Linked DNA regions of Nothobranchius furzeri. The main gene of each other region encodes a partner of the protein of the gene in region 3 in a complex. Links are inferred from orthologs where the notes say so. Each region holds a gene or a part of one and is shown on either strand. Other genes may lie near its edges. The genes, in order: itgb6, itgb8 and itgav.

Region 1 (4,504 bases), on a different chromosome or scaffold from region 3:
AATAAACAAACCAGCCATTTCTGTCTGAAAATGAGGACGCATCTCAGGAGGAAGCTGAATGACTAAAAAATAATCTGGACTGTGTACCCGGTCGAAGCTTGACAGATATTTTTTGCGGGGAAATCTGAGTGCTGTTTGTGTTTGTCGTCTTCTTCCCAAGTGGCCAGTCTTGGATAATTTGGGCTTCAGAAATGGGGAACAGGAGACGTTCACGGGCACACCCTTTCTCCAGCAGCTTATCCAGCGTGTCACATCGCTCTGTCGCTGAAAACCAGTTTGTAAAATTCTGGTGGAGAAATGTCACAGAACATAGGGCGTTAAGATTACTGAGGATTATAATAAGAAATCACAAAAAATTACATTCATTTGTCTTTATGCTTATTTAATTCATGCAAGAATGTTTTTTTTACCTCCTGTGTGCACCAGGCACAGTGAGGACTGAGCTGCAGACACTCATCACAGGTCACAGAGCTCCTGGTTATACATGATCCTGTAGCAGAAACCACATAGTCAACAATGAGCCAAGAAATCATCTGAATGAGTGAAGCCTGCAGCTGCAGTTATTCATCTATTAGCACATATAAGCAACTTAACTGTCAGGAAAAAGTGCTGTGGTATTTAACAACAACAACAACAACAACAATAATAACAATAATAATAATAATAATAATAATAATAATAATAATAATAATAATAATAATAATAACAATAATAACAATAACAATAACAACAATAATAATAATAATAATCATAATCATAATAATAATCATAATCATAATAATAACTGACTATTGTTGCTGTCCTGACATTGAAGCTTTTAAAATCCCAGCCTGGTACTACTTTGTTTGCACCTGACAAACTTGCTTCCCTTTATCCTTTCAAACCGAGCAGAGCTTCGCGCTTACCCTCCACGGTGTTGATCCAGCACCGGAGAACCGGGATCAGCAGTAGAAACCACATGAGTCCGTGAGGTTACTGAATGAACAGAAGAGGAGTGTTTCAGGTATTCTCAGGGGCTATATTTACAGGAGTGAAACCAACCCATGCCGTCTCAGATTAAAGCAGACCAGGAGAGCGCTGCCGCTCCGCTGCACCTGGAGAGGAGGAACTGCCTTTACCTGCGCGGCCACTTCCGTTCAGGTGAGAAAAGGGAGGCGGGAGCGACGGATCGCACACCTTTTCAAGTTTTCCCCCTTTTCTTTTCTACAAGACCTTTAATGTTTAAAAACTAAAGAAACAACAACAACAAAAATTCTAATAAATGTACAAGAGAAGTTCAGCTGTCACGTGTCGTGTTTTTATCACCACATCAACAGATCACACCACATCAAGTATTGTGTTTCCCCTGCATGAGTGAAAATGATTAAATTTCTTACCAAGATGCAAAAAATATAGAACGAAAAAGAAATGCTGATTTTAAGCCTTTTAATAAAATAAAATAAAGCTATAAAAATACAAAATAGTTAAAAATCATAGCAACAGATATTTATTTATTTCGTTAATTTCGTTTGTTTTGTAATCCTATTTGTGTATTTATTACAATATAAGCTGATCACTACTGAAAAAATTAGCTGATGATTGATGTTTTTTATTCTAACTTGTTAGTAATCAAGAACAAAACACTGTAGTCATTTTCTACTTTGAGCTCTAAATTTTCTATTTAATTGGTCACCAAATTTGTACAATTAAACTTTAAAACTAATTTATTAAAGCATTTTTTTTTGTTTATTTAATGTCCATATTATGTCTGATTTCTGAGTCTTTGCATGTAAAAACACTAAGAAGACACTCTCATGTAATTAAATCTGTATAAGTGAATGTGTATGGATGCACTAATCTTTGTTTAGCCTCCAGTCTTCATGTATTTATTGTACTTTTGTTAAAACATAATAAAAGAACCCAGACAAGCACCACCATGTGCAACTATTAAAGCAGACACACTAAAAGCAAGTAGGTTAATATTTAACGCATGAATCACAGTTGGTCCATCTTATGAGTTTTTGACTACTGACAAAAACAACCTTTCATGTCTATAAGTATCCGACGTGTTGCACTGAGTGTGTGTGTGTGTGTGTGTGTGTGTGTGTGTGTGTGTGTGTGTGTGTGTGTGTGTGTTGAGTTCATGAGGACAGAAGGGTGTGGCCCTGTGTAGGTGTTGAATCATTGACAGCTGCAGTAAAGATACCACTCGGAGGAATCTTACAATTTAGCACCACGCCTCTTCTGAATCTGGGTAAGTCCCATCTGTCACCCCAATCCAAACCCCACCTCTCCTCCTGTTATCCACCCACCCCTCCGCCCTCTCCATGTTCTGTGCAGACCCTTTGTATTTTGACCCACCTCTCCCAGTAGCCCTCCTGATCTCTGCATCTGTGAACGGGCCGTTTCATTCACGCCTCCATTGACTCACTTCCTGTCATTAACCTTTCTGTCAGTCTTCCTCTTCACTCCTGTGTCTCTCTCTCTTCTCACATCTCTTCTCATCTCTTTTCCTCATACATATATAAAAAACTCAACATGATGCAACCAAACTCCAAATCATGCAACTTTTCATCTTTTCAGATGATGCTTAGGTGCAATAAGGTGACACATTTGCACCATGTCACCTTGGCTTTTTGAATGTGACACCATTCAGTTTAGTGAGCTCGCAACAAAACTATTTCACGGTTTCAGCAGATTATTGTGTAGATGGCAGCTTTCATGGGGGATCCTGTTATAATTTAAAAAAAGAATCAGTCTCATTAGACCTTTCTGTCAGGTCCTCTTTTGAAATGCTCCACATTTATTAAACACAACTGACTCACCTCCATTGCTGTCCGCTGATAACATGCTGTCCAGTCTCAGTCTTTCTCTCTCGCAGCCAAGTAAAAAATGGACAGAAATCAGGCCAGCACCGTTAGTCTCATTGTATCCCAGCTATCGTCAGAGTAACAGTAAACCTATTGTAACAGCGCTCTTTATGAAGCATGGCGCTGGGGTGACCCTGCTGCCCATGCTCCCTGGCTCATGTGTGCCTTTGTGTGTGTGTGTGTGTGTGTGTGTGTGTGTGTGTGTGTGTGTGTGTGTGTGTGTGTGTGTGTGTTTGAAAGTGGGTGAGTGGGTGTGCATGCATGCATGTGAGGGTCATGTGTGGGTGTTTGTACAAGCTCCAGCTTGCCCTTATGTGTGTGTTGAGGGAGTGTGGGGTGATAATGAGTGACAGTGACAACTGCAGGCTGAGTTCTCCACTGGAGCCGGCTTCTCTGTTAGTGCCTGATGTTCTGGAGTTTCACTCTTCAAGCTGCACCACAACATGCCTGGCTCTGTGTAAAAACAGTGATAAGTCTGGATTGTGTGTGTGTGTGTGTGTTTGTTTGCTCAAGTTCAATTTACTTCCTGCAGTGAAAATGTGGAGGAGACAGAGAGGAGGGCCAGCGCTGTAATACAGCCTCCTTCATACAGCGGTATGGCAAGAATGCAGGTGTACACACAGCCTTGCAGGAAAAATAAATGATAAAAGCAGCTCCACACGATACAAAACAGAAGTTTAGGTAGTCTTAAAGCCAGAGTTTGGACACAATGCCATTAGAATATTTTTCTAATCCTCTCAGGCTCAAAATAAGTTTTGACAAAAGGATGAACAACTAAGTCCTTCACTTCTGAGTTACTTCTGAGTTAAAATATGCTGATGAAATACATATGTGGGGTAACCAGGTAGGTAGGATTTAACTGTTGCAAATCTGCAACACCTGCCTCCAGAGGGTTAAATATCTAGATCCATAAAAAAACTCCTGAGATACTCTTTTTAAAGGGAGTAATGTTCATTAACTTCAATTCTAGTAAAGTGGTGGCCCGAGCAGCTGGAGGCTCCAAAAATCAGAACAGAAAAAGGAAGAAAGGGATTAAGTACAATGACAGCCCATTTTGAGAATTAAACTTATTCTAATTATGAATTTAAAGAAAAACAAACCTAACTACATTTTTCATTTAGGTTTTACTTGTAACCATGATAAAACATAGAAAAATGACCATGGTCAAAGTGGAAAGTGCTTTAACAATTTCAATGAACACAAACGTGTGTGAGCTTTTTCTCGCTGCTTTTGTTAGCTGATTGTCATCCGAGCTGGTGCATGAGGAAGTTTGTCAGACAATAGCATAAGAGGAACTTAAAGTAAGAAGGGATGTGTCTGCTGTACTTTATGACAGTGGTTTAAACTTTATTCTAATTCTGATAAAGGTGTTGAACTACTAAATGAATCCACTTAAGAGTCAGAATGACTTTGTTCAGCTTTGAATCAGTCTGTATAAAATAAATGACATAAGGTGCATTTAGAAAATGTTAAATCAGAGTATTAATAAATTATGGGCTCTGTGTTAATTGCTTCATCAACATATTTGCAGATGAAATTAGTCTATGTATTTCCTAAAACTAATCTCCTATAGCATAAATGCATCATAAAACTCTCCTATAGATCTTCAACAAAGATGTTCACCTTCAGAAAAGCTGAACACAAGCCAGCACTTC
Region 2 (4,631 bases), on a different chromosome or scaffold from region 3:
CATGTAGGGGCCCAACAGAGCACGGCCCACACATGTGGGCTTCCCGCTATGGCCCCACTGTGGCCCTTTGCTGTGGGGCCCTCGTGTGCGCCTCATTTCTCGGTGGAACCCTGGCATGGCTGGGCTTTCCATCATTTACGTAGCAGTTTTCATCCGACCCAAAGCGTTTTCTCTTACCTGAGCTGCCGCTGCCCCACCATTACAAACACCAAATATTACAATAGCTCTAAAACCTTATTTAGAGAACTTGTGTCATGTAAGTTACATTTCTGTTTTCTTAAAGATCTGTTGATTCCCCTGAATTCCCCACATGGGCTAACACTCACGGGGCCACTGTGGGTAGTTTTAGGGCAGATCCCAATGTGGGGTGCCCACAGAAATAATCACAGGTATCTACTGGGCTGATCCAGGGCACCCCACAAGGGATGGATTTGGGCTGATGCACCTGTGGGTTGCACTTAACTAAATCTAACCCTACCCTAACCCTTGACTACATCTAAAGGGGGCTCACGTAGGAAAACAAATATGGGCCCCATTCATGCAAACATACACAAGATCCTTGTGGGTGAACTCTAGGGTAAGTGTGGGTTTGTCCTGCCCACAGAAGCTCATGGTGGGCCCAAACGGGCATGTTCGCTGGGTCTGTGTGTGTGTGTATGACTATATGTGTGTGTGTTTTATTGGTTACCCAGCTTTCCAGCTCAGTTTCAGGACTGATATTCAGAAACACTTTTTGTCACCACCCAGGAAGCACAACAAACTTAAACCTCATTAGTCATTTTCTACAGAACTCGGGCACAAAAACCACACAGGCGTCATGCACTCCACAACCATGACTGACGCTGAGCTGAGCCTGAAAACCAGACTCTGTATACTCTTTGATATCCTCACAAAAACAACTGGCCTAACATTTAACACCAAAAAGTTTAAGACTGGCTACTTCCCGGGACTTTCCTTCACAAGACCTGGGAGTTCAGCGTCTCACGTGGGCACATGTTTACATGAATACAGTTACAGATGTGTTTTCAGAGCTCGTTCAGGCGTGGACGTGTGTGTGTAGAGGTTACAAGGGTGATGTTTGAAGGCCCTCACACACACACATACACATACACACACACACACACACACGTAGACCCAACCCAAAGATGATGTCAGAGAAGTTTAGGGTTCAACAGGGTGGGAAAGCACCTGAAGTCTAAAAAACACTTTCAATCAGTGTGATGTCACTCTCTCTCTGTGTGTGTGTGTGTGTGTGTGTGTGTGTGTGTGTGTGTGTGTGTGGTGTGTGTGTGTGTGTGTGTGTGTGTGTGTGTGTGTGTGTGTGTGTGTGGTGTGGCACTGATAGACCGAAGCTTCTCAAGGCCAAATCAGGGTGGGCTCTTCACAGGACAGCAAGACATGCAAGACAGATAAAGACAAACACACGGGCTGATGCAGAAAGACGGAGAGACTAAACACAAAGACAGAAAGTGTCTTCATCTGAGAAAACACACACCGACGTTTTCACACACACAGATCACATAATGCACACCACTCAGCCCAAACATACACATTCGATCCTTGTTTGCGAATGCCATGAAAGCATTGGTGCGTGTCATCTGAGGAATGCACTTGAGTCTGCCACGTTCCTACTGTTTGCTTTATTTCCCTTTTGCCTGGCTCACACACACACACACACACACACACACACACACACACACACACCTTCTGGAAGCACCAGGCGCACTGAGGTCCACGGCAGAGGCAGTCTGTGCATGAGGCAACACCGGGCGACTGACACACACCAGCTCCTAACAACAATCACAGAAAAAAGGATAAAAAAGAGTGTCTGATTAGCATATGAACGAGTGTGTGTGTCAACATGCATTAGCCATGCGGTGCAGCTTCTGATGACGTTTAAATCTGGTTTACCCCTCGATGATGGAAGCACCGCTCAGAATCTCATAGGTCACATCCAGCACATACTGGTGAGTGTGGGAACAGGTGCTTGAAATGTTGGAATGGATGCGTGGAGTACCTCAAACTTTTATTTAAACTGAAACTTTTAAAAACACACACACCAAGGATGTGAGAAAGGGTCTAATGTGCACCTTGGGCTTCCTGTAGTTGGATTAATGATTTACTGAAGTAATTTATCTGCTAAATCCAATTTTCCAGAGTACTCTCGGTGATTTATGGAGCTGGAATGTAGGCCAGAGAAAGCATGCAGGTCTGAGCCTCATTAACAGACCCATTATCAGGCAGCTCTGACCCAATTAGCACTCTGACCTCTAGTAACCCATCAGATAGGTGATGGGTGGAGGTTTTAATGCAATACGGCGGTTAGAGGAGAGCTTGGTTTGCTGATGGTCGGAGATGTTCCTGCAGACTTTAGCAGATCAGGTTGATTCAGGTTGATAATTGATCAGAGTTCAATTTGGGGGTTTGAAACGTAGGTTTCACCATCCAGACCTGATCTGGGGCATCTTTCCTACTGATTATAATCTGCTGATTATAATTTGGTGCATCATATGCCAAATTATAAACGCACCTTTTTCATCCATCACATGCAGGTACAAACGCTGGAATTATTGATAACAGCTATAACATTATACATAACAGCCCATATAGTTATTGTGGGTTGTTATGTAATTGGTCCCTAATGAGCCTTGACCCACTCACCGGTACTGGACGCTGCAGCGCAGACTGCGAGCACCGCGCAGCAGAGCAGGACGCACAGACGAGGGTCGCTGCGGGGCGGCCAGCACGTCATCCTGTCCACGATTCAAGGAGAAGGAACCGGATCAAACTCAGATCCGTGCGCCCACGGCCGCACGAACAAAAGCCGGGACTGTCGCGTCGACATTGTCCTTCACTTAAAGAGAAATAAAGCAGAGAGAGACGTCTCTCTAACCCCGGTTACCTCTTCACATCACCGGGTCAGAGGAGTTTAGCAAAGCGCGCTGCCCGGTTGACAAGGTGAAGCCGTAGTTAGACTGTTTCACACCGTCCCTCCATCTGTTTTCAGGTGTGCCACCCCCCACCCTCTCCCAGGTCTCGCGCAGCTGCGTTCAGGCGACACGCTCCTCCGGTACACTGACCCAACACATGACGCTCCAGGTTCAGGAGAATGAGCGCGTTTCAACCATTGAACAGACTCAGGCAGGCGGATGCCATAGCAACGACGCGTTTAAGTCCTGCTGTAGAGTGGAAGAGGGAGGGACAAACAGAAAGAGAGAGAGAGAGAGAGAGAGAGAGAGAGAGAGAGAGAGAGAGAGAGAGAGAGAGAGAGAGAGAGAGAGAGAGAGAGAGAGAGAGAGAGAGAGAGAGAGAGAGAGAGAGAGAGATGCGGGTCATTCCAGAAATGCTTCCTTGGATGAGGCTGCATCTGAGAACCACGAGGGCTTCTGTTGGGGTGGGAACCCAAAGCTGGATGGTGGATGGGTGATGGGGGTGCTCGGAGGTCAGTAGCGGGGTTCACAAGCTGCTGCTGCAGAGGGGGAGGAAGGGGGATCCATTGTGTAACGATTTCAATGAGAGAGTAATCTTTCCTCACCGCTGAGCTGCAGCCAGAGACTCTAAACAACTGCGCATCTGAAGAGAAAGGCTATGGGGCGCCGTTTATAAAGTATCACAATAAGTACATAAAATGTATCATATTTAGATTCAATGATGGACAAAAGTATAACATTTAAAGTTTAAATAGTTACACTGAAAATTTTTAGATTCAATCAAAAGTATAGGAGAAACTCCAAAACAAGTTTAACCCAAATAAAATAAGTTGATTTAAACATTTGCCGTCACACCTAAAAATAAAGAATTACATATAAACACGTGTTAAATCTAAATTATAAAAAACATAGGCCTGCGTTAAGTTTCAGCTTATAAATATTTAAACTTAAACCTGAATATTTAGAATAAAATTAAATACATAACTTTAACTAAAACCAAAATACCTCAAAATAAATCTAAATAATCATTTAAAAAAGAAAATATTCAAGATCACTCTAACATATTAAAGGTTGACCATAGTACATGAACACCACAGCATCATCTAGTGTGTGGAGGTTAGTTGAAAACAGCCGATCGGAGCTGTGGCTGTAGGGTCGCCGGTGCCTGTTGTGGGGGCAATCCCCAAACCAGCTGGTTGACACCAACAAATAGGGATGCCGTCAAGCTTAAGAAAGAACCCTAATGGATGTGTTGGGCCTGTGGGACTCCAAAGGCAGCTGATGGTAGCGGAATGTGGCCCGGGTGGTCAAAGAGGCAAAAACCCAGATGTGGGAGCAGCAAGACTTCCCAAGGGCTTCAAGGAGATTCTGGTCCAACCCCCGGTGCCTCAAGAGGACAAAGCAGTGCCTACCAACACTGTTTATAGCGGGGACGGTGTGCTGCTGAACTCAGCTCGGGACATGGATCGGTGAGCAGAGTACTTCAAAGACCTCCTCAATCCCACCGGCACGTCTTCCAGTGACGAAGCAGACTTTAACATTTGGTTTCAAATCTGCATGTTTTATTTAGATTTTAACATCTATATGTGTCATTTTGTATATTTGGATTAGATCTTAAATAATCAGATGTATCTTTGCATGTTTTTATTTGATTCTAAATATTTACATTTATCATTGTAATGTCCATTTATGTTTGAAGAG
Region 3 (3,836 bases):
TGTGTGTGTGTGTGTGTGTGTGTGTGTGTGTGTGTGTGTGTGTGTGTGTGTGTGTGTGTGTGTACCTGGATATCCATTCTGGTCTACATCAGTATTTCCTGTCATAGAGTATCCAAAGCTAGCAGGCATGTAGCTGGACGCCCATTTGCCCTGGAGGACCTAAGCAACAAAGCAGGTCCAGCTGATCTGAATGAAGTTGTGGTTTTGTACAGGTTACTTTACTTTCTGCTCCTCCGTGGAAACCACAGAGCTCCTTTCAAACCCTTTCATGGAAACATCTTCCCAGAGTCTGATCCTAACACTGAAACTGATGTGAAATCAACATTTTAACTGTTTCTCTGGATTTCTCAACAATGACAAAGGCTTTAGCTAACAGGACTTTTGAGCATTTACCTGAGAGGGTGATGAGTCAGGTCCCTTAGGGCGGCCATTGTGGATGTATACCAAACCGTTGTGGTCAGGACCTCCATAAGGAGCAGAGATGGCCACATCTGGACAGAAATAGCTGAGTCAAGCGTTTTGGACCAGAAGACAGAAGTGGATCTGTGCAGTGATGAGGTTTACCGTTGAATCCGTCTTTGTCCAGGTCTCCCAGCGCAGCGATGGCAGAACCATATCTGGCATAAACCTCTGAGCCGGTCAGGAACTGGGGTAGCTGAAAGGAGAAGCCCCCCCGACTGAGATACACAGCCACCTGGAGGGAAAGAGAACACACGCAAACGGCGTCAGCCTGGCGTCCCCATGGCGACCACCACCACTGTGCATGTGCACAGTAGGACTAGGTAACTAAACACTTCTAATCCAAAAGGATTCAGATGAAGGCAAGTGGGCTTCTATGATTTCTTAAAGACGTTTCACTTCTCATCCGAGGAGCTTCACAATCCTGGCATGGGATAAGCCTCATGCCTCCTCGATGAGAAGCCAGACGTCTTCACGAAACCAGATTATTCCAGTTGCCTTCATCGAAACCCTTTTGGATTGATATGACCTGGATGAGTGAGAAGCTTCACCACCTCTATGCAATGGTGACAGCTGTGTATGAGCTGCTCCTACCTGTCCCACCTCCCTGAGCTTCCCATCTGAGCCTCTGTCCATGAAGAGAGGAGCACCGACCAACAGGTCCACCAGACTGAAACACATCCCTTACAAATCAGTCCTCCAATCAGAGACGTGCATATTTACTCTGTAGGTCCAACACTCGTGGGAAATGTTCTTCCTGTCTCAGAGTTTAAGTCAACTGATCCGTGCAATAACTGATGAAGAATGTGATCAGAAGCAGACTCTCTTTAGGTCTGAATGCAGGGTATCTGCAGGTTTAAGGGAGCCAAATGTAAGACTTTTTAAGACCTTTTTTAAGGCCACTTTGACCAAATTTAAGCTATTTTTAAAATTAAATTTAAGCTATAATTTCCAGCTATTGCCTGGAAACGGTGCTAACCACGACGCGAACGTGGGATTAGCCACCCAGTTACCATTAAACTTGCCCTTCCCATGGTGCAAGCTCCCACTAGCTTAACCAGCTAATGTGCTCATCTAAAAATAGCCCCCTTTCACAACCAACTGAATGTGTACGGTTCCGCCAATATCATACACAAAAACCGCTGAACACTAAACTAGAAATTCACGAAACATTTTATAGAAATAAAAGAATCTTGTTTATTGGGTCTTTGGTAATGTAAGACCTTTGGAAACTGTATTTAAGGATTATTTGTCATTTTTAAGGATTTTTAAGGCCATAAATTTGGAAAAACTAATTTAAGACTTTTCAGGGACCCGCGGATACACCTGGAATAAAAACAATCATTTAGTGTGTTTGGTTCGACAGCTGGATCCGTCACACGACAGAACCTTGCATTTGGTGAAGCTGAAGGTGACAGCCCAGCCAGGAAACAACCTCACAAAGGCAGTAGGAGAAGACCAGTCACTTACCCATCGTTATTAACGTCAGAGACGGCCACTGAATGTCCAAAGTAGGCTGCCATCTACAAGAGAAGTGGGAGAGACGACTCTTTAGAGGCCGTGCACACACCCTGCTAAAGGTCCTGCTCAAACATTTGTTCTTCACATCCAGTGGCAGAATTCACCAAATTCTAACAACTTCCACTTGGGTGTCAGTGATTTAGAGCAGAGAGGCAAGAAAAGGTGGAGCTGGGACCTTCAAAGGGAGCTGATAGCAGCGAGGTTGTTGGGTTTAGAGGGGGAGTTGTTTAGGATGAACTCTGTCATTAACTCTGCTCCTCCCCCACAGTTCTCTGTGTTCACACACTCCTCTGGATCCACTAAAACGGCTCCTCGCATTTCTTCTAAGCAATTAAAACAATAATAAAGAACTGTGGCTGTTTAAAAAACAACTGGAAAAAAAGTGATTTTATTTGAAAACGACCGTCTGACACCGCCAGCCCTCGTTGCTTTCTAGCTGAGGTCTCCTAGGAACGTGTGGTGTGTGTTGGGGGTCCTGCAGCTCACCTGAGAGCCAGTGAAGTTGATCATGGACGCCATGTTTAGCCCATTGAAGATGTTCACCTTAAACACACAGAAGCATCGCCTTAACTTCACCTCTGCATCCATCCCAGTCTGGAGGACGTACCGCTGAGACGAGTGTGAACGCTTACATAACCCAACGCCTGCTGTCCTCTCGGTACTCCAGTCACAAAATCTGTCAACGTCAGGAAAAGAGACGCAGCATGAATCACAACCAGTATTTCCACAACCCAGCCATTAACTACAGATACAGGGACTAAACGACTGCCCCCTGGTGGCTGGCTGCAGTAAATGATTAGGTCCCACCCCCCGAGGAGCAAACACACTCTGGCTAAGACAACATAGTGGCTCCAGTAACTGTGACATTGTTACAAGGGAAGTAGATGGAGACTCGTTCAATGGAACTAGGATTGGGACAATATTACATGTACCGTATTTTCGGACTATAAGCCGCTACTTTTTTCCCCATGCTTTGAACCATGCAGCTTATAATGAGGTGCGGCTTTACTGAAGATTTTCCTCCACCTGCCAGGGGGCGCATTAGCAGAAAGTGAAACAGATGGAAGTGAAAAGTGGAAATCGAAGAAAGTGCTCATTTTAATTTAGCACATGCAAGCAGCCGGCACGACGAAGAAGTTTTTTCAAATCCATATCCCCTCATCATGGAAACTACACGTATGAGTTCATATGATGCTGTATTTAAGTTGAAGGCCATTGATCTGGGAGTAAAGGAATGAATCCATGGTTCGGCGCTGGAGACGGCAGCGGGAAGAACTCATTCACACCAGCTTCACCCAGGGACATCGACACAGAAAAGGTATGTGACGAAGCTCTTCTGAGGCTGTTAAAAAGGGACTTTACGGAGTTTTGAACTTTTATGCTCGTGATTGCCCCCTCAGGCCAAAAGCGTAACGGCAGCTTCAATAGTAGGCTCGTGCACGAGGCGCGCATGCTATACATGCCCACTCCTTAACGAAAATAACAGCTGAGACTGTCCCTTGTGTGTGTGTGTGTGTGTGTGTGTGTGTGTGTGTGTGCGTGCGTGCGTGCGTGTGTGTGTGTGTGTGTGTGTGTGGCCCGGAGGACAGAGAACAGGAGAAGACTCGGCTAATTCAGGGGTGGACCTTTAAAGCGCCCGAGCGCCAATGGTGCTAAATTTTCTCGTTGGGCGGTAAATACTTGACAACTTACCGCCAAGGTGGCGCCCAAGCCTTATTTGTCATTTACACAGGCTTTCACCTACATCATGGCCGCGCCCTGTAGGAAGCTGCCGTTTTCGTTTTGCGCCCGTGAACCTGCGCGCATCTAGCCACGTACTGCACTTGTACGATTCATGCACATACTGCACGATTCTA

The links.
Region 1: the proteins of itgav (region 3) and itgb6 are in contact, whole or in part, in a crystal structure (PDB 9CZA), measured with the Homo sapiens proteins. The link is inferred for Nothobranchius furzeri from reciprocal best matches to the Homo sapiens genes ITGAV and ITGB6. Residues at the interface, in NP_002201.2 of Homo sapiens: Tyr48, Phe51, Lys72, Trp123, Leu141, His143, Gln150, Glu151, Arg152, Pro154, Asp178, Ala179, Phe184, Gln186, Phe189, Pro204, Tyr208, Trp209, Asp249, Tyr251, Tyr254, Pro274, Arg275, Arg278, Thr279, Met302, Ala303, Tyr305, Phe308, Pro328; in NP_000879.2 of Homo sapiens: Ser183, Pro184, Phe185, Lys187, Thr188, Thr189, Pro190, Ile236, Asp237, Thr238, Pro239, Asp273, Ser274, His275, Phe276, Gly277, Met278, Asp279, Lys281, Leu282, Ala283, Gly284, Val286, Pro288, Glu308, Thr311, Ile312, Gly313, Gln314, Ile316.
Region 2: the proteins of itgav (region 3) and itgb8 are in contact, whole or in part, in a cryo-EM structure (PDB 8TCF), measured with the Homo sapiens proteins. The link is inferred for Nothobranchius furzeri from reciprocal best matches to the Homo sapiens genes ITGAV and ITGB8. Residues at the interface, in NP_002201.2 of Homo sapiens: Tyr48, Phe51, Trp123, Leu141, His143, Gln150, Glu151, Arg152, Pro154, Phe184, Gln186, Phe189, Pro204, Trp209, Asp249, Tyr251, Tyr254, Arg275, Arg278, Thr279, Gln301, Met302, Ala303, Tyr305, Phe308, Pro328, Leu329, Met331, Ser335, Asp336; in NP_002205.1 of Homo sapiens: Ser197, Pro198, Ile202, His203, Pro204, Arg206, Ile250, Asp251, Thr252, Pro253, Thr287, Ser288, His289, Leu290, Ala291, Leu292, Asp293, Lys295, Leu296, Gly298, Val300, Pro302, Glu321, Ser324, Leu325, Gly326, Gln327, Glu330, His349, Trp350.

The regions. Positions count from the first base shown.
Region 1 is NC_091749.1:40,628,079-40,632,582, forward strand, and holds the start of itgb6 (integrin beta-6), read right to left. Parts: upstream 3,036-4,504; 5' UTR 2,805-3,035; intron 1,179-2,804; exon of another isoform or gene 976-1,178; 5' UTR 961-975; coding exon 906-960; intron 491-905; coding exon 411-490; intron 287-410; coding exon 88-286; intron 1-87. UniProt on the Homo sapiens protein: Integrin alpha-V:beta-6 (ITGAV:ITGB6) is a receptor for fibronectin and cytotactin. It recognizes the sequence R-G-D in its ligands. Internalization of integrin alpha-V/beta-6 via clathrin-mediated endocytosis promotes carcinoma cell invasion.
Region 2 is NC_091751.1:28,152,399-28,157,029, reverse strand, and holds the start of itgb8 (integrin beta-8), read right to left. Parts: upstream 2,895-4,631; 5' UTR 2,753-2,894; coding exon 2,662-2,752; intron 1,791-2,661; coding exon 1,705-1,790; intron 1-1,704. UniProt on the Homo sapiens protein: Integrin alpha-V:beta-8 (ITGAV:ITGB8) is a receptor for fibronectin. It recognizes the sequence R-G-D in its ligands.
Region 3 is NC_091754.1:34,944,844-34,948,679, reverse strand, and holds part of itgav (integrin alpha-V), read right to left. Parts: intron 2,657-3,836; coding exon 2,613-2,656; intron 2,524-2,612; coding exon 2,467-2,523; intron 1,983-2,466; coding exon 1,930-1,982; intron 1,130-1,929; coding exon 1,054-1,129; intron 695-1,053; coding exon 565-694; intron 492-564; coding exon 394-491; intron 160-393; coding exon 66-159; intron 1-65.